Xenopus tropicalis: one gene and its partners. The protein of the gene in region 1 purifies or fractionates together with the protein of each later gene. This does not show direct contact. Links are inferred from orthologs where the notes say so. Each region holds a gene or a part of one and is shown on either strand. Other genes may lie near its edges.

Evidence for each region.
Region 2: the proteins of epb41l3 (region 1) and clns1a purify together in Homo sapiens (affinity purification with mass spectrometry; 3 studies listed by BioGRID and IntAct, with this or other methods). This does not show direct contact. The link is inferred for Xenopus tropicalis from reciprocal best matches to the Homo sapiens genes EPB41L3 and CLNS1A.
Region 3: the proteins of epb41l3 (region 1) and pnn purify together in Homo sapiens (co-immunoprecipitation; 3 studies listed by BioGRID and IntAct, with this or other methods). This does not show direct contact. The link is inferred for Xenopus tropicalis from reciprocal best matches to the Homo sapiens genes EPB41L3 and PNN.

What each region holds. Positions count from the first base shown.
Region 1 is NC_030682.2:106,252,389-106,260,957, reverse strand, and holds the start of epb41l3 (band 4.1-like protein 3), read right to left. Parts: upstream 5,101-8,569; 5' UTR 4,973-5,100; intron 1-4,972. UniProt on the Homo sapiens protein: Tumor suppressor that inhibits cell proliferation and promotes apoptosis. Modulates the activity of protein arginine N-methyltransferases, including PRMT3 and PRMT5.
Region 2 is NC_030678.2:168,849,795-168,857,787, reverse strand, and holds part of clns1a (methylosome subunit pICln), read left to right. Parts: intron 1-4,321; coding exon 4,322-4,458; coding exon of another isoform or gene 4,459-4,464; intron 4,465-7,993. UniProt on the Homo sapiens protein: Involved in both the assembly of spliceosomal snRNPs and the methylation of Sm proteins.
Region 3 is NC_030684.2:104,723,263-104,730,391, forward strand, and holds the end of pnn (pinin), read right to left. Parts: intron 6,189-7,129; coding exon 6,094-6,188; intron 5,972-6,093; coding exon 5,896-5,971; intron 5,769-5,895; coding exon 5,613-5,768; intron 2,458-5,612; coding exon 2,319-2,457; intron 1,571-2,318; coding exon 294-1,570; 3' UTR 109-293; downstream 1-108. UniProt on the Homo sapiens protein: Transcriptional activator binding to the E-box 1 core sequence of the E-cadherin promoter gene; the core-binding sequence is 5'CAGGTG-3'. Capable of reversing CTBP1-mediated transcription repression.

The sequences.
Region 1 (8,569 bases):
TAGAAGAGTTTTCTCAGCTACTACTTTTTGATAAACACTCCACCTTGTTTCCAACAGCAGAATCTGATAAGATACAAAGCCTGAGGAAATGCGGCGGGCCTTCTGATTTCCCAAAAAACTAGACAAGGGCACTTTCAACAGGAAAATTACCAAATAACTTTTACACAATATGTCAACTTATCTACTGCCTAAACCACACCTGCAACAGTCACACTGTCAATACACATATATTAACAGATTATAAGGCTGGGCTAAGGGGCTTTTAAAAATCTCTCCTTTGGCCCTGGCTTTATTGCACATTATAATACACAAGTTTAAATAAATAAGGGCTAAATCACAATCAAACACTACAAACTGCTGTCTCTGTATCAGAGGATTTTCAGACAAACAGGATTTTTGGACAGTTCTGTTTGCACAATCAATAAAACTAAGTTAGTGGACTACAACATATGCTTGTTAAGTGATCATAATATTTTATAAAAACGTGATTTATCCTTCCTTATTTTTTAAAGATAATTTGTAAATTTTATTCCATTAGCATCCATAGACTCCATTTGAACTGAATAAAAATCCTTGTCTAAAAATAAAGCCACAGCCATAAGAGCCTCTGGGCAAAAGGGAGATAAAAGGAACTTCTGAAATAGCACATCCAAATAAGGTGGCCTCTAAAAAATGGTTCCTTATCTCTAAAGCGATAATCTCCCATCACAGCCGCAGACTTAACCCTTGTTCGATCTGCAAAACCCTGTAGCCAGCAAAGCTTTTACCACATAAAATGAACAGTGGGCAATAAAGTTGTTTACAGCCTAGGGAAAAAATCCTTGCTAAACAAATTTCCGCTGCCGCCAGCTAAGTCTTGCTGATTATTACTACAACCTTTGAACAGTACAAGATTTTAACCTTTCACCGTGGCAGAAAACCCCATTAAGCAACAATATTAAGCTGAAAGCACAATTATGCTACAAAACCCAATATGCAATCCATGTATGGAATAAAAATTATAGTTTATAGGCACTTATAAAGCATTGCTAGCAAAAAAACGTGATTATACAGTGAAATTGTCAGCACATGGCACAGAACAGGTTACAATGTGGGCTCATTTACAGGATGCTTGCAGGTGCCACTTCCAGCACATTGGTGTCATCCGGTGTCAGACTTGTGGCTTGCAATGGTGCTGACTGGATAATTGAAATTATCATCAGCAATAATGATGGTACCAAGGTAGATTTGCACTGAAGTGATGCCACTGCAAATAAACTGACTTTTGTCCCTAATTTATTTAACACAACTATATGATTTAGTATAGTAACAGTTTTAAAACAAACTCCAAAGGAGAAATAGTTCTGTCAAAACAAAGTTTTTAAAAGCTTATAGTAGCATGCTAACCCAATTAAATTCCATCCTAACTTTTCCATTAAGCACATAAGGCAAATCTATGCAGTACGGAATTTTCATACATTTTCAGGACCTCTAATTGGTGTAAACACCGGCTAGATCACACGTTCAGAGATGTGATTAAAGTAAGCATAAAAATACACATAATGCTAAAAGGTTTGCAGAAGCCGAGCTAAAAGACTGAGTGATGCCATTGAGTATTCCACACTCATTCTGAAGCAGATGGGAGCCAATAGGTCTGTATCTCTGATCACATTCTTAGGTAATAATTAGAAAGGCAGGCATGAAATGATGGGCACTCACCCAGGAGACCCCTTAATGTCTTACCTTTTTAGTAACCCTAACTCAATTCAAATGACCAAAGTCAAATTTATCTGCTTTCTGGTTCTGTGTTGCTCATATGTGAACCCATATGTGTTGACCCAGCCAAAGCAACAACTACTGTAGAGACAAGCATCCATCCCCAGTAGATGTTAAATGGTTCCCACTGAGTTTAGGTAACATTAATAGCCAAAAACATGGAGGTAATAGTCCTGATAAAACCTTTAATGGTTACTATACAAAATACATGTGACTCAAGTCCCAGCCTGTAGTATGAGCTCTTTAATAGGATGGCTTTTCTTAATTCACAGCTTTCTCTACCAAGTGTCTTACTGTGGCTCATAAAAGCAAAATTTCACATTGATTAATGCTGTTGTAGATGTAGATATGTAGAATAAATATTGCCCTTTTAAACTTAGGGGTAGCAAACATGATGTAACTGTTTTTTTTCAATGTCAGTACAACACTGGCCCATATATATAGTAAAAGGCATCCAATAAGTCCCAGTAATATTTAGAATTTTTTTTTTTTACCGTAACGTGACCAAGCTTATATGCCATGCTTTGTTTACGGCTTTTGTCTGCACTAAAACAGCCCAGTATAATCAAATAAAAGAAACATACAACCTCGACAGGCAACTTCGGCAATTGCGGCGCCGCGTATGCCATCCCACTGGCGATTTACATTCTCGCCGGTAAAATGCCATTTCCGGGAGATTAGTCACCCGCGAGAAGGGAGATTTGTCGCGAGCGACTAATCTCCCCGTCTGCCACGGCCCTTAAGCCTCCACAGTCAGTGTAGAACAGAACTTGCTATGAAATGAAAGTGTATGAAAGAAGCAGCCACAGTATCACTGCTTAAAACATTACTATAAAGTACAGCAAAATTACATTTACAGGAAAAGCATCATATTTCTCTATCATGCATGTAATATATTGTATATCTGTTGCACATAACAGACATACCAAAGTATGGCAACACATATTTCACTTGACGTACAAGATAAATTAAATGAAATAACTGCCAAAATGCATTAGGGGCTGCATTGCACTAATATACCCCCAATGAAGGGCCCTGTGGAGGCCAAAATGTTGAATCAATACATTTTTGCATTTTTTTTGCTTTACAAATCCCTTGTGTGCTATCTGTTGTTGCTCTTAGGTTATACATATGCATGGACTTTGGCACCAGGGCACTGTACTAAGTAAATGGTGCGCACCATTATGGAACTTGCCATATATACATATACACATATTTCATAAGCACACACACATAATCTTAGCACAACCAAACTTGTCTAATCTCCAGATATTATGGCCCCTTCCTACTTCCTACCTATGACTCTTGCATGACTTCTACCAGTAATGGGCAACATGTACAATTTCAAGTGACTCAGATGTGGTACCTGGCTACCCAATTTATCTTGGCAAAACCTTTTAATCAGTATCAGACAGCAACACAAGGGTACAAAGAAAACTCCCAGTGGCTCCTGGTATGCCGGCCTATACCATGGCTATTGCCCATTTCTGCTTGAAAGAAAGGGTACAGACAGGGCCGCCGCTCCCTATAAGCAGAGTACTTAGTCTGCATAGGGCACCAACTCCCAGGGGGGCACCATCCCAGCTGCTCCAAAAAAAAACATTTTTATATATTATAACATACCCCCCAACACTGTCCCCCCGGTTTTTATAGCGCATCCCGCTGTCCCGGATAGTTCAATCAATCTATGGGGGCTATTGGGGGCACTTACTATGGGGGCATTGTCTATGGGGGCAATTGGGGGCTCTGTGTATTTTATTTTTACTTCCGTAATATTTGGGGGAGGGGGCACAAAAGTAAATTTCTGCTTAGGGCACCCATTTGGCCAGCAACGGCCCTGGGTACAGATATAGAGGGAAGAATAGATGATTGCTTGTAAAATGGAAATAATTGAAGAGAGGACAATAGGCTTGTGGTATAAGGTCTTCTTGTGTGCCTCTGGAATGCCTATCTGACACTGATTCTCTTCAGGGCACCCCATTCCAGTATATTATTCCTGGTGGGTCACCTAGCATTTGTGAGCTGTAACTGACCACTCATAGCACCCACAATCACTTGTTGCTCATCACTGATCTATATATCTGTATTATATAGCACTCCTGCGGTGGCAACCCCTATAGCAGTGCCCCTGGTCCCTGACCATTTATACCAGTGAGCCACATTTAAACAGGAAAAAATGTTGGAGAGCAACACAAGCATAAAAAAGGTTCCTTGGGGGGCCAGTAAGAGCTACAAATGGCTATTTGGTAGCCCCGATGTGGACTGGCACCTACCTTGAGGTCACGGAGAGCAATATAAGAGGGGTTGGAGCGCAATATGTTGCTCAGGAGCCACTGGTTGGGGAACACTGCCCTATAGTTATGCTCCTTCCTCTTATGATACCAGTGCTGAAGCCATCACTCTTCCCTTTATGCTTTGGGGTGTGGTATATTATAGTAAGGATGTAAACAGTTCTTTCAGTAAGAGCTTCTCACCACCCCTCCACCTTGCATTAACAAACAACTGACTTTAACACAAAGATTTTAGAAGTATCTGAGGCTTGAATTCAGAGATAGGCCTGTGCTGTGGGGAAGAGACCACATAGAGGATATTGATGTGAAAATGCATACATTCCTGTTCTCTTGCCAATATGCCCTTCCTAAAGCTCCACAGAGGGCAACAATGGGTCTGTTAATGAAGCTACAGGGTGTGCGCATAAAAGCAGATCCACTTTCCTCCACGTCTATAAAAAATAACTAAAGATAGGACCAAAACCTAATGACTGAAAGTGACAACGAGCAATTACAGTGTACAGGCTATTTTCTCTATTACAACCTTTTAACCTGCTTATTATGTTTTCTTCGACACAGGTAAGAACAATATAGAAGCTACTGTTTCTAAGTATTACTTAAATGCATGACTTATTCTTACAAGACACTAGAGGAAGAAGACTGCAATTCATCAGCAGATAATCTATCACTTATAGCCATAGGACTACAAAATCATAATTTGCTAAACTTCCCACCTCAAATGCAACAGAATCATTCTGATTAACCTGTGCATTGACCCAGCCTTATTAGGTGCAAAGGAACAGATAATTAGAAACTTGTGTAGAGAAAGGTATCCTTCCTAAGCTATAGTCTCAAATGTAAAATAAACAATAAAAACATAATGTAATCAGACCTTATCAGTGCATGCAACACTATGCAAAGATTATTGTGAAACCTCAGTTACTCACCAACAGCAGTGTAACCCCCACAGCAAGTATGGTGTCCACACAGATGTTCATGAAGTCCATAATCCGATATCAGGATACATGTAAAAAATGAAAGGCAAAGTTAGAATTTCTTCAATGTAAATGAATACGTTTCAGGAAAGAGAAGTAAAATGGATGGATTTTCCACGTACTATTGCCAAGATTCACAGACTTATTTCACAATCAAATCTGTGCTAATAGTAAACGTGACACTGCATATGCTGACTAGAGATATCTTTTTTTTTTTTTTTTTGCTGTCCTTGTATCCTGTGGTTTATTAGGCAATATAGCACACGATCTTCTGTAAAAAAAGAGAAGTAACTAAGGGGAATAGGTTAAAATAAAATAACATATATTGAACAGGGAGCCAATTGACAATGATGAGTGTTGGTGAATTTTAAACCTGTGACAGAAATATTATTTCTAAAAAGTGACATGAAAAAGTTATATCACTTAGCACTCCAAGCAATTCCTGCTGGACATGCCTACTCTACACTGGGTTATTCTCCTTCATTTGAATGGAAAATAGGTGCAGGGGGGCAAAGGGTATAACTGTGTGGTTGGGAACAGTATCTGGGCTTGGCAAGGGTGTAACGGGGTTGTGGTAACTAGCTTCTCAGATTTCAGTCCAATAATGTGATTGCACCAGGGCACAAAATCAACAAAGGGGCCCATGGGCACATAAAATGTCTTTATAATTAGAAGGCTAAGAAAACTGCAATAACTTGGACATGGGTAAATAGAGGGCATTGGATGAAGAATCTGAGGGTATTATGAGATGTGGAAATAAGTGGCAACCAGTGGCATAACTATTGTGGACCCAGTGATATTAGTGGCATTGTGGAAAAAATCTGCCTCTTCATAAAAATATTGTTGGCGGGGCTGTTGCAAATTTTTACTCAGGGCTCACATGACCCTAGTTATGACACTGCACCAAAAGCTGAGAAAAAGCAAATAAAACCACTTTACCAGAATGTACATTAATATACAAAATGCAACCTTATATGTAACAGAATAAAATGCATAATGAATGTTTGCAAAAAAGCAGTTGGAGTACAAGGAGGGTAAAACCTAACATCTGTTTGCATGTACAGATCTTAGCACATTCTGTTAAATAAAAGCAGACATTGAAATCTGAACTGATGCTGGCATCCTTTTGCAAGGCTGACAAGGCAATCTGTTTTACTGGGACTTCACTCCTTTCCATTCCAAACTGCAGCTTCTACAAATCAAAGCCTACACATACCAATAAAAAAATACACGTTTTTAACATTTTCACATCCCAAGAAAAAACAATGACTTTGTCCTGGTCACTAGCTCAAAAACCACCCTCATTAAACTCCATAAATTCAAGCTGATGTTTGGCATAAATAAAAGAGAATGACAAACAGGTCCAAGATATGTGTACTCTGGAGAAAGCTTCATTTAGAAATTGGCATCTTTGACATCCTTCCACAACTGTTTTTGTAAATGAGACTATCTTGCAGATCAGGCTATGCTACACAGAAATCATTTTGCACTCAAATCGACAGCATTCCCAACCCCAGATAACAGTCTGCTTTAAGAACAGGAAACAAAATGTTAATGGGGTTAAAAACAACCCCTGGTAATAATATCCATAATTACGAGAGCCATTTATGGTCATTTGTGCCAGTGCTTTGGTTCTGCTGACATAGGTTTAACTTTGCCCTATGATCTTCTATTAGTCATCAATACTCAAAAAGCAACAGCTCAACAATGTCTCCTGCTCAGCACAGGCTGTCATATCTGTGATTAGAGTGCTAGTTAATCTTTGCTAGAAGCTCTATCCACCCGTCCCTAATTCCAGCAAGGTCTACTCTAGTGCCAGGTGATGTGACCTCAGAATGCGGCAACATAGTTCATATACATACACTCTGCTGTGCAGGATTGTGTGGATGATAAAGAAATATACTGGGTGCATGGACAGATGGAACCTAGGGGGGTTGTTCTGTGGTGCTGACTATTAGCATACTGAAAATCATCTGGTTATAACCATAATTTATTTGCTATGTGTGTGAAACAGCTTACACTGGGTTACTATTTGCTCAAACTAGAGATCAGAGCCACCCACGTGAATTGCACTGGGGATTTAAATGTACAAGAGAGACTATATACTACAACATTTGCTTGTCTGGTTACACTGCCAAAAAAGTGTATTTTTGCACAATTTTTATTTGTCCCCCAGCAGAATGGTTCTCTAAAGGTAAGCCTGCAAGCCACATGCACAACTTGATTCATGGCCAACATGACTTTCCAGCGTTTCCTAACCTGGCACATTTATTCTCTTCATGCTCATCTCACAATATTTTCATAAATAAAAGGGTGCAGCTCACCCCTTATTTTAAAATCTGTTCTGCTTCGAACTGTGGTGAACCCAACTGAAACAGCAGTGAGCAGTGAGAACAATGTTAATCCGGTAGCTGTATCTACTGCCTGCCGTCACACTAAAAAGCAGCACGCTACAATTTGGAGTGGAGCACCCACTGAGAGTACCATTGTGTTACAGATGTTTAGTGAAAAATCTGCTGATGTATGTGACAAGAAAACTGAGGGCCCCTGTGGGGTTACAGTTTTTGTTGCCCTACTGTGATCCACCCCTCACTACAGCCCCCTTACCCCATATTTACAAAGCTATTTCAGCACAGTGATCCTAAACAGATGGAGACAGAGTGAGCTCCCAATCATTAAATAAAATAAAAACTATTTCTAGTTGAAGAATCAACCAAGTTGTCTTGCCTGCTACTTGCAAATAGTCACAGGTAGTCTAAGTGATCCTTGACTATGGCATTAGACGAGAAGGAGCTGCTTGTTGGCCACTGGAAAAGATGCCAATGCAGTGACTTCTACCCCACAATTCTGCATCGAAATCTACCCACAAGTACATAATAAATATGGGGTTGGAGGCAGCAAATCAGCAGTTTCTCTGGTGGCAACTTAAAATCTGAAAAGGCAGAGCAATTGATAACCCTCACCCCACCTACTTACTCTGATGTTATCCATCAGAGTTTGAAAAAGCCTTTTAAATGCTGAGGGAATTTGTGATCCTTCTACTTGGGTATTCCAGAATAAAAGATATCAGATAAAAGTCAAATGAAACAGGAAGAAGAAATGTTATTGTGAAACAAAATAATATGGAATCAATCTCAATACACACAAAACTGTTTGAATCTTTTATCAGTCAGATATTGTATGTTTCCAACTCTGCTTTCTACTGACTTCTAAACGTTATATAATGCAACAGCACTTCATTGAGTCCCAACTGATGCTGTGGGTCACGGATACAGATCTGTGCTCTAGCTGTGACATAGCTGCAATGAATGACTTTCTAAGGCACAGAACTGCCATCAGTGCAACAAGTGTAGTCCCTCAGGGTCAGGCACATTTATCAGGCCATATTTGTTCTGCAAACAGAAATAGCATGTCCGCCATGCTTATACATACCCAAAACTATAAGCACACCTGCACATTCATTATTTCTTTTTACTTCTTTTGTGCAAATTTTAAATTCATCTGATATTGCAACTAGCAGAAAGCAAATTTTCAAATTGGTGCTATATG
Region 2 (7,993 bases), on another chromosome or scaffold:
AAGGAACTCCTCGGGGACTTATAATATCCCTATATGTTACAATAGGGGGCACTTTATTCACTATATGTTATAAGGAACTCCTCGGGGGCTTATAATATCCCTATATGTTACAATAGGGGGTACTTTATTCACTATATATTATAAGGAACTCCTCGGGGACTTATAATATCCCTATATGTTACAATAGGGGGCACTTTATTCACTATATATTATAAGGAACGCCTCGGGGGCTTATAATATCCCTATATGTTACAATAGGGGGTACTTTATTCACTATATATTATAAGGAACTCCTCGGGGGCTTATAATATCCCTATATGTTACAATAGGGGGCACTTTATTCACTATATATTATAAGGAACTCCTTCAGAGCTTATAATATCCCTATATGTTACAATAGGGGGCACTTTATTCACTGTATATTATAAGGAACTCCTCGGGACTTATAATATCCCTATATGTTACAATAGGGGGTACTTTATTCACTATATATTATAAGGAACTCCTTGGGGGCTTATAATATCCCTATATGTTACAATAGGGGTACTTTATTCACTATATATTATAAGGAACTCCTCGGGGACTTATAATATCCCTATATGTTACAATAGGGGTACTTTATTCACTATATATTATAAGGAACTCCTCAGGGGCTTATAATATCCCTATATGTTACAATAGGGGGCACTTTATTCACTATCTATTATAAGGAACTCCTTCAGAGCTTATAATATCCCTATATGTTACAATAGGGGTACTTTATTCACTATATATTATAAGGAACTCCTCGGGGGCTTATAATATCCCTATATGTTACAATAGGGGGCACTTTATTCACTATATATTATAAGGAACTCCTCGGGGACTTATAATATCCCTATATGTTACAATAGGGGGCACTTTATTCACTATATATTATAAGGAACTCCTCGGGGGCGTATAATATCCCTATATGTTACAATAGGGGGCACTTTATTCACTATATATTATAAGGAACTCCTTGGGGGCTTATAATATCCCTATATGTTACAATAGGGGTACTTTATTCACTATATATTATAAGGAACTCCTCGGGGGCTTATAATATCCCTATATGTTACAATAGGGGGCACTTTATTCACTATATATTATAAGGAACTCCTCGGGGACTTATAATATCCCTATATGTTACAATAGGGGGCACTTTATTCACTATATATTATAAGGAACTCCTCGGGGGCGTATAATATCCCTATATGTTACAATAGGGGGCACTTTATTCACTATATATTATAAGGAACTCCTCTGTGACTTATAATATCCCTATATGTTACAATAGGGGGCACTTTATTCACTATATATTATAAGGAACTCCTCGGGGACTTAAAATATCCCTATATGTTACAATAGGGGCTGCTTTATTCACTATATATTGAGTGATTGTGTAGCGTATTTGTTACCTGTATAACCTGCTGGCCATAGGCTAAAGCTGGCTATACACGGGCCGATTGTAGCTGCCGAGGTTGGTCCCTTAGACCTATTCGGCAGCTTATCGGTAGTGTAGGGTCCCCGAACCGACTGCACCTATTACCGGCGTTCTAACTCGATCGAATTAGCTTGAATTCCCCCGATATCCCCCACCCGTAGGTGAAGGAGAAGATCCGCTTGTTTGGTGACCTCGCCAAGCGAGCGGATCTTAACGTGTATGGGCACCTTAACACACATTCCTACACATATTGTGTATAGTACTGACTGTATTATATATATATATATATATATATATATATATATATATATATATATATATATATATATATGCACAGTAACCAGCGTATGGTATAGTCAGTACAGTGTTACCCTATATGTTGGGCTGGCATATTTTGCAGCGCTGAATGGAGATTATACATCATTCCTGCACCAGGGGAGTTTGTAGTCTATAGTCTCTGTAACATACACTAGGTCCAGTTTTAGCAGGAACCAGTTATTCTGCCTTTATGTTGGGGGGTGAACCGTAGCACTTGGGGGGTAACCCACACAGACATGTACAGGACATATATATTCTTTGTAGATGGTTCCCTTGCTGGAAGCAAACCTAAGGGTGAAGACACATGGAGCTGCTAGTAGCAGCTACTTGTCGTGGCTACTAAATGCCAGAAAATCCCCTGCCATAGACAATACTGAGAATTGCCTCAGCTAAAACACATATAGAGACAATTATCAGTAAATGATCAGCATTGTCTATTTCTGTAGCCACAACAAGTAGCTGCTACTAGTAGCTCTGTGTGTCTTCACCCTAAGGGTGAAGACACATGAAGCTACTAGTAGCAGCTACTTGTCATGGCTACTAAAACAGACAATGCTGATCATTTACTGATAATTGTCTTTACATGTGTTTTATCAGAGGCAATTCTCACTATTGTCTATGGCAGGGGATTTTTTGGAGTTTAGTAGCCTTGAAAAAGTAGCTGCTACTAAGTAGCTCTGTGTGTCTTCACCTTAAGGGCTCTGGCACACAGGGAGATTAGTCGCCCGCGACAAATTCTCTTGTTTAAAACCTCACCAAACGAGCCAGTCTTATAGAGCTGCCTTTAGGGCTCTGGCACACGGGGAGACTAATCTCCCCGAGTTGCCATCCCACCGGCGAAAATGTAAGTCGCCGGTGGGATGGCACATGCGGCGGCGCGATTTCGCCAAATCGCCGAAAATGCCTTTGTGAGGCAACTTCGCCGATTTGGCGAAATCGCCTGCGCAGCGTGTGCCATCCCACCGGCGACTTACATTTTCGCCGGTGGGATGGCAACTCGGGGAGATTAGTCTCCCCGTGTGCCAGAGCCCTAAAGGCGGCTCTATAAGATTGGCTCGTTTGGTGAGGTTTTAAATAAGAGAATTTTTCTCCTGATATGGTAACCTACAGTGGGCAATATTGGGCTAATTGGATCATTTGGTTACAATGACAGGGATAAGAGCCGTTGGAGTGAGGACCACATCAATGAGATGAACACAGTCCTTTATTGGATTGGTGGGGTGGGTGGGGGGCCACATACATGGGCAGATAAGCTGCCGGATTGGTCAAGACCACTGTGACCCTTATTATATGGCACAGATAGAGTTAACAGGATCACCCCCTACATTGCCAGTTACTTTAGTCTCTGATTGTCAGTCAGTGCAGGGGCTCATTTTTTTATATATAATTAGGGATTCACCAAATACACTATTTTGCAAATTAGGATAAGGAAATGTTAAAATTAGGATAATGTAGTAATTATACAAATTATTATTATACAAATTAAGATAAGAAAGGTTTAAAGAGGATTCGAATTTGGTTCGGCCGTATCCAAATCCTGCTGAAAAAGGTCAAATCCTGGTTTTGGTGCATCCCATATATATATATATATATATATATATATATATATATATATATATATATATACACAGATTGCAGAGTGGGGAGCACACCAAACTTTAGGTACAATACCTGGGTGCCAGAGCCGCAAAATGTAGATAAGTGAATGAATGTCGGCACTCACAGGATTCTCACAAGGATGTATCACAGACAATATGGTTGAATGCAACTAGGTGAGGTTTATTGTCCTACGTTTCGGTTCTTTACTGGAACCTTCGAACCTGACGAAGGTTCCAGTAAAGAACCGAAACGTAGGACAATAAACCTCACCTAGTTGCATTCAACCATATTGTCTGTGATACATCCTTGTGAGAATCCTGTGAGTGCCGACATTCATTCACTTATATATATATATATATATATATATATATATATATATATATATATATATATATATATATATATATATATATATATATATATATATATATATATATATATATATATATATATATTATATATATATATATATATATAGCAAGAAAAAAGAGCTGCACTCACCAGGACTTGGCAAAAATATAGTAAGTTTATTTAAGCAAAGAGATCCAACGTTTCGAGCACTAACTGTGCTCTTTCTCCCTGAGGAAGAGCACAGTTAGTGCTCGAAACGTTGGATCTCTTTGCTTAAATAAACTTACTATATTTTTGCCAAGTCCTGGTGAGTGCAGCTCTTTTTTCTTGCTATATATATATATATATATATAATATATATATATATATATATATATATATATATATATATATATATATATATAGCTAGCACTAGTGAAAGGCTACCAGTAGTAATATCTCATTCCTGACCAGCCATTAAAATTATTATTAGAGGAAACTGTTAGACTGAGGGATGGGAGCAGCAAGCATAATACACCTAATTTTAAACCATTATTTTTTCTGGTTCCCTAAAAACAAATTTAGTGAGATTTTCTGTTTCTCTTTCAGTCGCCTATCATGGCTGAATGGTTCCGGCCTTGGTTTTTCATTAGAATATCCTTCAATCAGTCTACATGCAATCTCCAGGGACACGGCCGCCTATCCTGAGGAGCATCTCTACGTCATGGTGAACTCCAAGCTCGGAGGTGCGGGCAGGTTTTTGTCTTTGGTGACCTCTTAGTTCAGCTTTGCTGATAGGCTCTGCTAGCAGTGTTAGGGTAAAGACACACAGAGCTACTTAGTAGCAGCTACTTGTCACGGTTACTAAACGCCAGAAAATCCCCTGCCATAGACAATACTGAGAATTGCCTCTGCTAAAATACACGTAGAGACAATTATCAGTAAATGATCAATATTGTCTGTTTCTGTAGCCATGACAAGTATCTGCAACTAGCAGCTCCGTGTGTCTTCACCCTTATATGCGGCATTATATATATATATATATATATATATATATATATATATATATATATATATATATATATATATATATATATATATATATATATATATATATATATATATATTACACCAGCGCTACACTGACTGCAGAAGGTTGAGAGTTTTAGTTCATCACATATAAATAGACTCTGGCTCTTGCACCATGCACATTCTTAAAGGAGAACTAAAGCTTAACTAAAAACGTAGGGCAGAAATGTTGTACATTGTGTTTTGGGTTTCTGTATAAGCCCAGGGCAACCACAGCCCTATAGCAGTGAAGATCTGAAGATGCCCCAGTTGCCCCCCATCTTCTTTCACACTTATTCCCAGCACATGCCCTGGGCTGCCGTCAGTAACTGATCTTAGGGAACCACTCACAATAGACTGTATATATAGAATATACATTTTACAATATAAGTGAGATAGTGTAGTAAATAATACAGATTACATGGCAGCTCTAAAACCAATGCAGTTAGCATCAGAGCTCAATATGCCCAGAGCACACTGAGCATGTGTAGTGTCACTGACACTCCTAACAAAATCCAGGATAGGGAGCTCCTGTTCCCTATCAGACCCACCTAGTTGCTGATTGTTCCTAAGCTACAGTGCAAGTGCTGCCAGCTTCCCTGAACAGCCTGGGAAAGGAGCCAGCAGGAAGTGAAACACATGGTTTTTGGAAATGTTTTTATGAAATCAGCCCAAAACACTTTTCTTAGCACATTCCTTCTATATTTAGAAGCGTAAAATGCATTGGCACATTCTTGTTTTTTACACAATATGCTTAAAAAGCCCTAAGAGTGTCCCCTCTGCCTGTACAGTATCTGCTCCCACTAATCAGGGAAATAGAGGTAACTGTTGTGAGGAAATAGCATTTTAAATCACAGATCAACAAGGTGCTAAAATGTAATTTAAAATTCGTTTTCTGGTGGTCTTGGCTTTTGGCTGTAAACTACTGTTGAAATCAGGCTAACATGGATGCTACTGACTGGATTTACATTTGTAGGCACCAAATAAAATATATGGGAGATCCCTTATCTGGAAGCCCATTATCTAGGAATTTCCAGGTTATTGTAAGATCATCACCCATAGAGTCTATTTTAGGCAAATAACAAAGTGATTTCCTTTTTCTCAATAATAATAATAATAAAACAGTAACTTGTACTTGATCCCAACTAAGATATAATTACCCCTTATTGGGGGCAGAACAGCCCTATTGGGTTTATTTCATGGTTAAATGATTCCCTTTTCTCTGTAATAATAAAACAGTACCTGTACTTGATCCCAACTAAGATATAATTACCCCTTATTGGGGGCAGAACAGCCCTATTGGGTTTATTTAATGGTTAAATGATTCCCTTTTCTCTGTAATAATAAAACAGTACCTGTACTTGATCCCAACTAAGATATAATTACCCCTTATTGGGGCAGAACAGCCCTATTGGGTTTATTTAATGGTTAAATGATTCCCTTTTCTCTGTAATAATAAAACAGTACCTGTACTTGATCCCAACTAAGATATAATTACCCCTTATTGGGGGCAGAACAGCCCTATTGGGTTTATTTAATGGTTAAATGATTCCCTTTTCTCTGTAATAATAAAACAGTACCTGTACTTGATCCCAACTAAGATATAATTACCCCTTATTGGGGGCAGAACAGCCCTATTGGGTTTATTTCATGGTTAAATGATTCCCTTTTCTCTGTAATAATAAAACAGTACCTGTACTTGATCCCAACTAAGATATAATTACCCCTTATTGGGGCAGAACAGCCCTATTGGGTTTATTTAATGGTTAAATGATTCCCTTTTCTCTGTAATAATAAAACAGTACCTGTACTTGATCCCAACTAATTTTCCTAGAGAAACTAAAGCTCCCCCCCCCAAGGAAATGCCTCTAAAGTGAGGAAAAACAAAATGTTCCAGAAACATGTAAAATGTTGCTGGCACTTAAAGGGTTAAATCATCATTGTGACTGCAGATTGGGGGAGAGAGGCTCTGACTCACAACCTGACAGTCCCACGAAATGGAGCAGTCAAAATGGTTTCTTTCTTTTGCTACATAATGGCTTAAATAGGTCAGGCTGCATCTTTGTGTGTATCATTTGGAATGCGGGGGATGATTTTAGCTGTGCCTGGGTTTTTCTCTTTTAAAGGGGAAGTTCATTTTTAAATTAATGTTTAGTATTGTATTGATAGACCTTTTCTTTTCTGGCTAATGGTAACTTAATACAGATATGGGGCCTGGGCCTTTCCAGACAGGGATCTTTGTGCAATATGGATCTCCATTCCTTACGTCTACTAAATATCAGTTTAACATTAAATCAACCCAATAGGATTGTTTTACCTTGTTAGTTGGGATCAAGTACAGGTACTGTTTTATTATTACAGAGAAAAGGGAATAATTTAACCATTAAATAAACCCAATAGGGCTGTTCTGCCCCAATAAGGGGTAATTATATCTTAGTTGGGATCAAGTACAGGTACTGTTTTGTTATTACAGAGAAAAGGGAATCATTTAACCATTAAATAAACCCAATAGGGCTGTTCTGCCCCCAATAAGGGGTAATTATATCTTAGTTGGGATCAAGTACAGGTACTGTTTTGTTATTACAGAGAAAATGGAATCATTTAACCATTAAATAAACCCAATAGGGCTGTTCTGCCCCCAATAAGGGGTAATTATATCTTAGTTGGGATCAAGTACAGGTACTGTTTTATTATTACAGAGAAAAGGGAATCATTTAACCATTAAATAAACCCAATAGGGCTGTTCTGCCCCAATAAGGGGTAATTATATCTTAGTTGGGATCAAGTACAGGTACTGTTTTATTATTACAGAGAAAAGGGAATCATTTAACCATTAAATAAACCCAATAGGACTGTTCTGCCCCAATAAGGGGTAATTATATCTTAGTTGGGATCAAGTACAGGTACTGTTTTATTATTACAGAGAAAAGGGAATCATTTAACCATTAAATAAACCCAATAGGGCTGTTCTGCCCCAATAAGGGGTAATTATATCTTAGTTGGGATCAAGTACAGGTACTGTTTTATTATTACAGAGAAAAGGGAATCATTTAACCATTAAATAAACCCAATAGGGCTGTTCTGCCCCAATAAGGGGTAATTATATCTTAGTTGGGATCAAGTACAGGTACTGTTTTATTATTACAGAGAAAAGGGAATCATTTAACCATTAAATAAACCCAATAGGGCTGTTCTGCCCCAATAAGGGGTAAT
Region 3 (7,129 bases), on another chromosome or scaffold:
ACGAAGCCAGCCCATTCATAACAAACTGCCTGCCTTTTCAAAGTGTTAGTAAAAATACGGTTGTTGTATAAGTGGATAAACAGAAGGAGGCAAAAATTGGTAAAATTCTTTACTTTTCTTTGTTTTATTTAAATTGATCAGAACTGACATCAACCTATTACAAAATTATGCAAAAAAAAAGTAAAAGAAAAATAAAAGTCTGTGCTTCCCAAAATGGTTATCATGCAATTGCTAAGGCAGCACCATATCTTCCCAGGGGATGACTTAAAATATGTAAGCACATGTTGGATCTGTCAACGTCTTTTGTCCTTCCTGTCTGATTTACGGTCTCTCTCACTTCTTGAGGGTCGCTTTCCTGACCGACTACCTTCTGAAGTGGTCCTCTTCCTGTCAGACCTTGAACTTTTGTCCTTGGATCCCTTGGAGTCTCTGCCACTGCCTTTTGAAGACTTGTGACTTCTCTCTACACCTGCTCCATCTCTCCTCTTGTGCTCCACACTCCTCCTGCGTTTGTCATCTCTGGCATGCCCACGACCTCTGCTGCGACTTCGACTTTCACTACTGCTGCTGCTACTGCTACTACTGCTGTCTCGGCTGCTACTCCCACTGCTGCTACTGCTGCTTGAACTGCTTCGGCTACTGCTACTACTAGAGCTGCTCCCACTGCTACTAGAGCTAGAACTACTGCTTGAACTACTGCTACTACTACTCTTGCTTTTACCCATTTTGTTTTTAGTTCTTCCCCTGCTCCTACTTCTTTTAGCTTTATGGACTGAGGCTGGTTTTGGGGCATATTCTACTTGTGTCTCAGCCACAGGCACAGTCACTGCCACTATCTGTTCTTTTTCAGCAAAATGCTCTTCATCCACATTAAAGTGGTGTTCAGGCTGAGTCCTTGACTCATAACTGGCCGGTGGTGGGAACATTAACTCCAGCTCCTTCTGTGGTCTCTCTGGGGAGTCAGCCTCCCTCTCAGGTTCAGGTTCTTTTGTAGCTTCTGTCTCAGCTTCAAGCGTAAAATTATTTTCTGTCTGAACCTCACTCTGATCTTCACCGTCCTTTACATTCTCTAACAAGTCTAATACCTCTGACTGGTTTACCTCAAATGTTTGCGGATCCTCACTAATATCCTCTTTTATTTCATCCTTGGTTTCTTCTTCCTTGACTTCCTCTTCAACAATCTCTACTTCCCTTTCCTCCCACTGACTATTCTGGGATTCTTCTACCTCAACTCTACCCTCCTCTTCTATCTTTTCCTCCATCTGCTTAGAATCTTCTATATCTTCGACTCCTCTAGCATCATGTGCCATTTCTACATCCATCACGCTAATGCTAACCTCTTTATCTTCCTCTAGAGTGTCCTCCATATCTACATCATTTGGCTGGTTACCTGTCTCAACCTCTCTATCATGCCGAGACACCTTACCATCTTCTTGATCCTCCGTATGTTCTTCATTCTGTTCCTCTGGCTTCTTCTCTTGGTCTCTGTCTTTCATGGACTGACGCCTAGGCCTAGCTTCCATTTTGTTTAACTGCTCAGCAAACTCAAGCCGCCTGCTTTCAAATATTGCTAAAGGAAAAAGGGTGGTTTAGAAAAAGAAATGAAAAATAGAATATTTAAACATTTTTATAATGTTACAAAAAATACCTTACTTACAGAGTAAATTAGGCTATGTGAAAAAGTACAATGGTCATTAGCAGCTTAGAAGTAAAAACAAGACTTGGCATAATGTAATTTTACAACTCCTACTTTCCTGGACTATGAAACTATACCTATAGAATTGTTTTTCACAATTCATACTTTAAGGCACCTCTTACAAGCACACCTAGAATTGCCTTACTTTAGTCACTGGCTATTGAGATATCTACTGCACAGTGGCAAAGCAGATAAGCAGAGGTTGTGATTATGGGTTGCTTCTCAGGTGCTTTCATTGGGTAGCTACCCAAAAAGCTGTCATACTGACATTAATGCCTGACAGTGCACACTTGCAACGCAGTTCTTTACGGCTAATGCCCCATTTACCTTTAGACTAGAGACAACATGACTTCTATACAGTTTAAATTTTATAAGAATACACTAGTTAGGCATTATTGCATTGGGGACATATCCTTTGATTTTATCAGACTGGCAAAGACTCCTGCAATGTAAAAGATGTTTTGCTGTTTTCTTCTTAACTTTCTTTCTTAATTTGTTTTAAAGTCCCTGCACAATTCAAACAAGTTCTGCCATTAATCGCAGCAATAACATTCTTGTGTGCAATCAACTCTATAATGTTACTTAATACTAGTTTGTGTTCCTAACAGCCAAACATACTTACCATTCAGTTTTTTCTGAGACTCGTCAAATAACTTTTGGCTCGGTGGACACATCCTGCCAGGTATGTAGAACAGATGCGGCTTTGTTTTGGTTCTTATATATTTTATAATTTTTTTGTTGTGATCATTCCACTCTTCTTGCTGTAACAGAAAACAAGCCATTAAATTATTAACATGACAGTTCATGTCAGACCAATTTAATTGCTTTTTATGATGAGGTTTGTAAGAAGCTGGACAGTCGGGGTGCAGTATATGTGATAATTTGGATTTTGCCAAAGCATTTGATACTGTTCCCCACAAATGACAGCTTTCTGTACTAAGGTCTATTGGTATTAGTGAAGTCGTTTGCACGTGCGTAGGAAACTGGCTACACGATTGGGTACAGAGGGTGGTTGTTAATGGTACAGTCTCAACTTGGAGTAAGGTTACCAGTGGGGTCCTGTACTGGGTCCATTTTGTTTAACTTGTTCATAAATGACTTAGGGGAGGGTATTATGAGTAATGTATCAGTGTTTGCAGATGACACAAAACTCTGCAGACCAGTCAATTCTATCCAGGATGTGACATCCTTGCAGCAGGATATTGACAAACTGCCAATCTGGGTAGCTAAGTGGCAGATGAGATTTAATGTGGATAAATGTAAGGTCATGCACCTGGGATTTAAAAATATGCAGCCACTTATACCCTTAATGGGACTGCACTAGGCAAATCCATAATGGAGAAGGACCTTGGAGTCCTTGTAGATAATAAACTTGGCTGTAGCAAGCAATGCCAGGCAGCAGGGGCAAGGGCAAACAGGGTATTGAGCTGTATTAAAGGGGTATAGATTCACGGGAGGAGGGGGTTATTCTTCCCCTTTACAGAGCGCTGGTAAGGCCCCATCTAGAATATGCTGTTCAGTTTGGGTCTCCAGTGCTCAAACGGGACATTATTCAATTAGAGAGGGTCCAAAGAAAGGCAACTAAGTTGGTAAAGGGTATGGAAAGTCTCAGATATGAAGAAAGACTGGCCAAGTTGGGTCTGTTTACACTGGTGAAGATGCGCTTAAGAGGTGATATGATAACTATGTATAAATATATAAGGGGATCATATTATAACATCTCAAATGATTTATTTACCAGTAGGTCCTTCCAACCGAAACAAGGGCACTCATTCCATTTAGAAGAAAGGAGGTTCCGTTTAAGCTGTGAAGTTGTGGAATTCCCTCCCTGAACCAGTCATACTGGCTGATACATTATATAGCTTTAAGAAGGGGCTGGATGGCTTATTAGCAAGTGAGGGAATACAGGGTTATGGGCTATAGCTTTTAGTACAAGTTGATCCAGGGACTGGTCCGATTGCCATCTTGGAGTCCGGAAGGAATTTTTTCCCCTCTGTGGCAAGTAAAAGGCTTCAGATGGGGTTTTTTGCCTTCCTCTGGATCAAGTAGCAGTTAGGCAGTTTATATAGGCATTATGTTTGAACTTGATGGACATATGTCTTTTTTTCGACCTAACTTACTATGTTACAAAGTGACAATGTTCCACAACATTGTATGATAAATGTATGTATACATTATTTCAACATAAAAGAATAAATACATAAGAACCAATAACCAATACAAGAGGTAAGGAGTATCCTGCCCCCCTTAAAAAAATAGTTTGTCTTAAACATTAGAAACTGAAAAATTCAATTCAGTTTCCTCAAATAAAAACTGTTGTTCAGTACACTTTCATTTAAAATTCTTTTTTTTTTTTTTACTCTTGCCCATGCTATTTACCCACATTTGCCAGTGGGGGGGGGGGGGGGGGTGAGAGAGGCCCACAGACTGTTGCTGGGTAAAATAGCAGCCTCAGCTTTCCTTCTTCCCCCTGGGGACACACAAGGAGACAGTATGGCCTGGACATGACAGGGAGAGCAGACCTTGTTGGTGGGGCTGGCGCTAGTGATGCATGAACTCCTTTCCCCTAGCCGTTTGCGCATGTGTAATAGGATTGCCTGCGTCTGCGGTTACCACACGTGCGAACAGCTAGGAGAAAGGAGCTAGGGCAGATAAAAGGTATTCCAGTCTTCCTTATCGCTTCATGCCGAAATGCATAGCGCGGAGCCACGCCCATCACTAGGTCTTATTATCGGTGTAGGGCTTATATTTAACAAATGCATAGAAATCCTGCTAGGGCTTATTTTTTGGGTAGTTCTTATTTTCGGGGAAACACAGTACTAGTAGCTCTGTGTGTCGTCACACTACAAAAGTTAGTCAGTCCGTGGCCATCAGTTGCTCTGTGAGAATCGAACGGAAACATTTTTTTTTAGGCCAGTTTGATCTTGCCTGTCACTTTTACAGGGGAATGATATAACCTTTACTTGTGAGAAGCTGTCTGCTTGCATCCATGTCTATCACACAGACAACTGCTCAAAAGAAAATAGCCATGTGGAAGACCAAAAAGACCCTTGGATAGGCGAAATTGAATGCAAAAATAAATAAACTTTGCAGATCCGATAAAGAATTGGATTTCATCATTACTATTAAGATGCAGCAATTTGTCCTGCTGGTACAAACCCTATAAATAGACAAAACCCCTAGTGTGCACTTTACAGTGCCATCATCATACTCGCATCACATGATACAGATATGATAATACTTTTGATTAGAATGCTATTTTGTCTGACAGCTGCAGTCTGTAGGCCAAGAGAACCAGGGTACAGCCTAGGATTATTCAGTATCTCTCATATCTGCCCTATATGGTTTACAAAGATTACAGATTGATTGTAACCCCTATATTACAAGTGGAGATTTTTCTATTAGACAAATCTTGCAGCTTCTTGAAGGTGTTTTGTACTTGTGTGTATTCTAATAAAAGTTCTTTTTTTTTTTTTTGCATCTAAGTGTGCATAGATTACAGTAATGTAGTAGAACGCTTTGCATTCACCCACACAAAATTCACCATGGCGCATCTAAATCAGGACAGGTGCACTGAGTACTTCCAAACAAATACATAATTCAGATTTTGCTTTAAGCACCAGAAAGCTGGACATAATTTGAAATTACAAATGAAAATTTCAGGATTACCCATATCAGTTTTATTCATCTCAATAAGTCTGGGTAATTAAAGCAATTTTTGACTATGCTTAACCCGGAGTCCACAATTAGATCTCATATTCAGTTTGCTATTCTGATTTGCTGCATGCTTATTATGAACATTTGTACATAGTTTAAAATGAATCAGAAGTAGAAATGGTCCCTTTTCAAAGCAGCCACTAACTATTAGAACAACATATAAACCAATTTTTTAAAATGTAGTTAGTGTGTAACTTACCAAGTGGGCAAGCTCAACCTTCTGTTCCAGAAGGCGTAGCTCTGTCTGTTTAGTCCGCCTTTCCTCAAAGAGCTCACGTCTCTCAGTCTCCACTTGTTTCTTTTCTTCTTCAGCCTGCACTTCAAGCTTTTGTTCTATTTCGTGGCGCCTTTTTTGCTGCAGTTTGGATAGGAGAAATTGTAAGTAAATTAGTCACTTTGGCTGAAGACGTGCAAAACAAATATTTGCATGACATGTTATATTGGCACAGACAAAAAATTACAAATTACCAAGCATACATTACCTGCTCTGTTGCCACATTTGACTCTTGCTTAAACTTCTGAAGAGTACCCATCAACAGGCCAAATATTCGCCGATTCCTGTAATTAAGAAGAAAATAAAATTATATGCAAGACTTAAACCTCCAACTTCGATTTTAAGTCAACTGTTTTGACAAAAAAGAAAAAAAGGGGGGGGGGGTGCAAAAGTAAATTTTTTCTACCTTTGTTTGCCTTTCTCATCCATGTTCTGATCTTGTATAAGATCTCGGCGTGTACGTTCTTTGGAGGTAGCAACAACTGAGGACTGCAACGCTGGCTACAATTTAGAAACAAAATAGGAGTAAGTACCTTTGACACGTAGGACAACATTAAAGCAACCCCACTCTTGGATTAAAGGAGATATATTGTATAAAAAACAAGAATGTGCCAGCGCATTATACTTCTCTAAATATACTTGAGAGTAGTGTTTCAGGCAGATGTACTGAAAATTTCACAAAAAACCCCTACCAATCCCACCCATCTGTTCTTCTTCCCGCTGCCCCCTTTCCCAAACTGTGCAGGGGAGCTGGCAGCCCTCAGAGCACTTCATTGTAGGATAGGAACCAATCAGAAGCTAGGCTGACCTAGAAACTGAAGCCTGTCTTTGCTTGTGTCACTGCAGGGTTGCAATTGGCTATGCCCCACCCACTGTGTGTCTGTCAGGGACCATTAGGACAAACCCACCCCTGATTTTAAACAGACACATAGTTACATAGGGTTGAAAAAAGACCAGAGTCCATCAAGTTCAACCCATCCAAGTAAACCCAGCACACACAACCCACACCTACCAAGCTATACACTCACATACATAAACTATATATACACAACCACTAACTGTAGATATTAATATCACAATAGCCTTGGATATTCTGATTGTTCAAGAACTCATCCAGGGCCCTCTTAAAAGGCATTAACAGAATCTGCCATTACCACATCTATAGGAAGGGCATTCCCCAACCTCACTGCCCTCACCGTGAAAAACCACCTACGCTGCTTCAAATGGAAACTCGGTTCCTCTAATCTAAAGGGGTGACCTCTGGTACGTTGATTGTTTTTATGGGAAAAAAGACCACCCCCTATCTGCCTATAATCCCCTCTAATGTAATTGTACAGAGTAATCATGTCCCCTCTCAAGCACCTCTTTTCCAGAGAAAACAACCCCAACCTCGACAGTCTAACCTCATAGTTTAAATCTTCCATCCCCTTAACCAGTTTAGT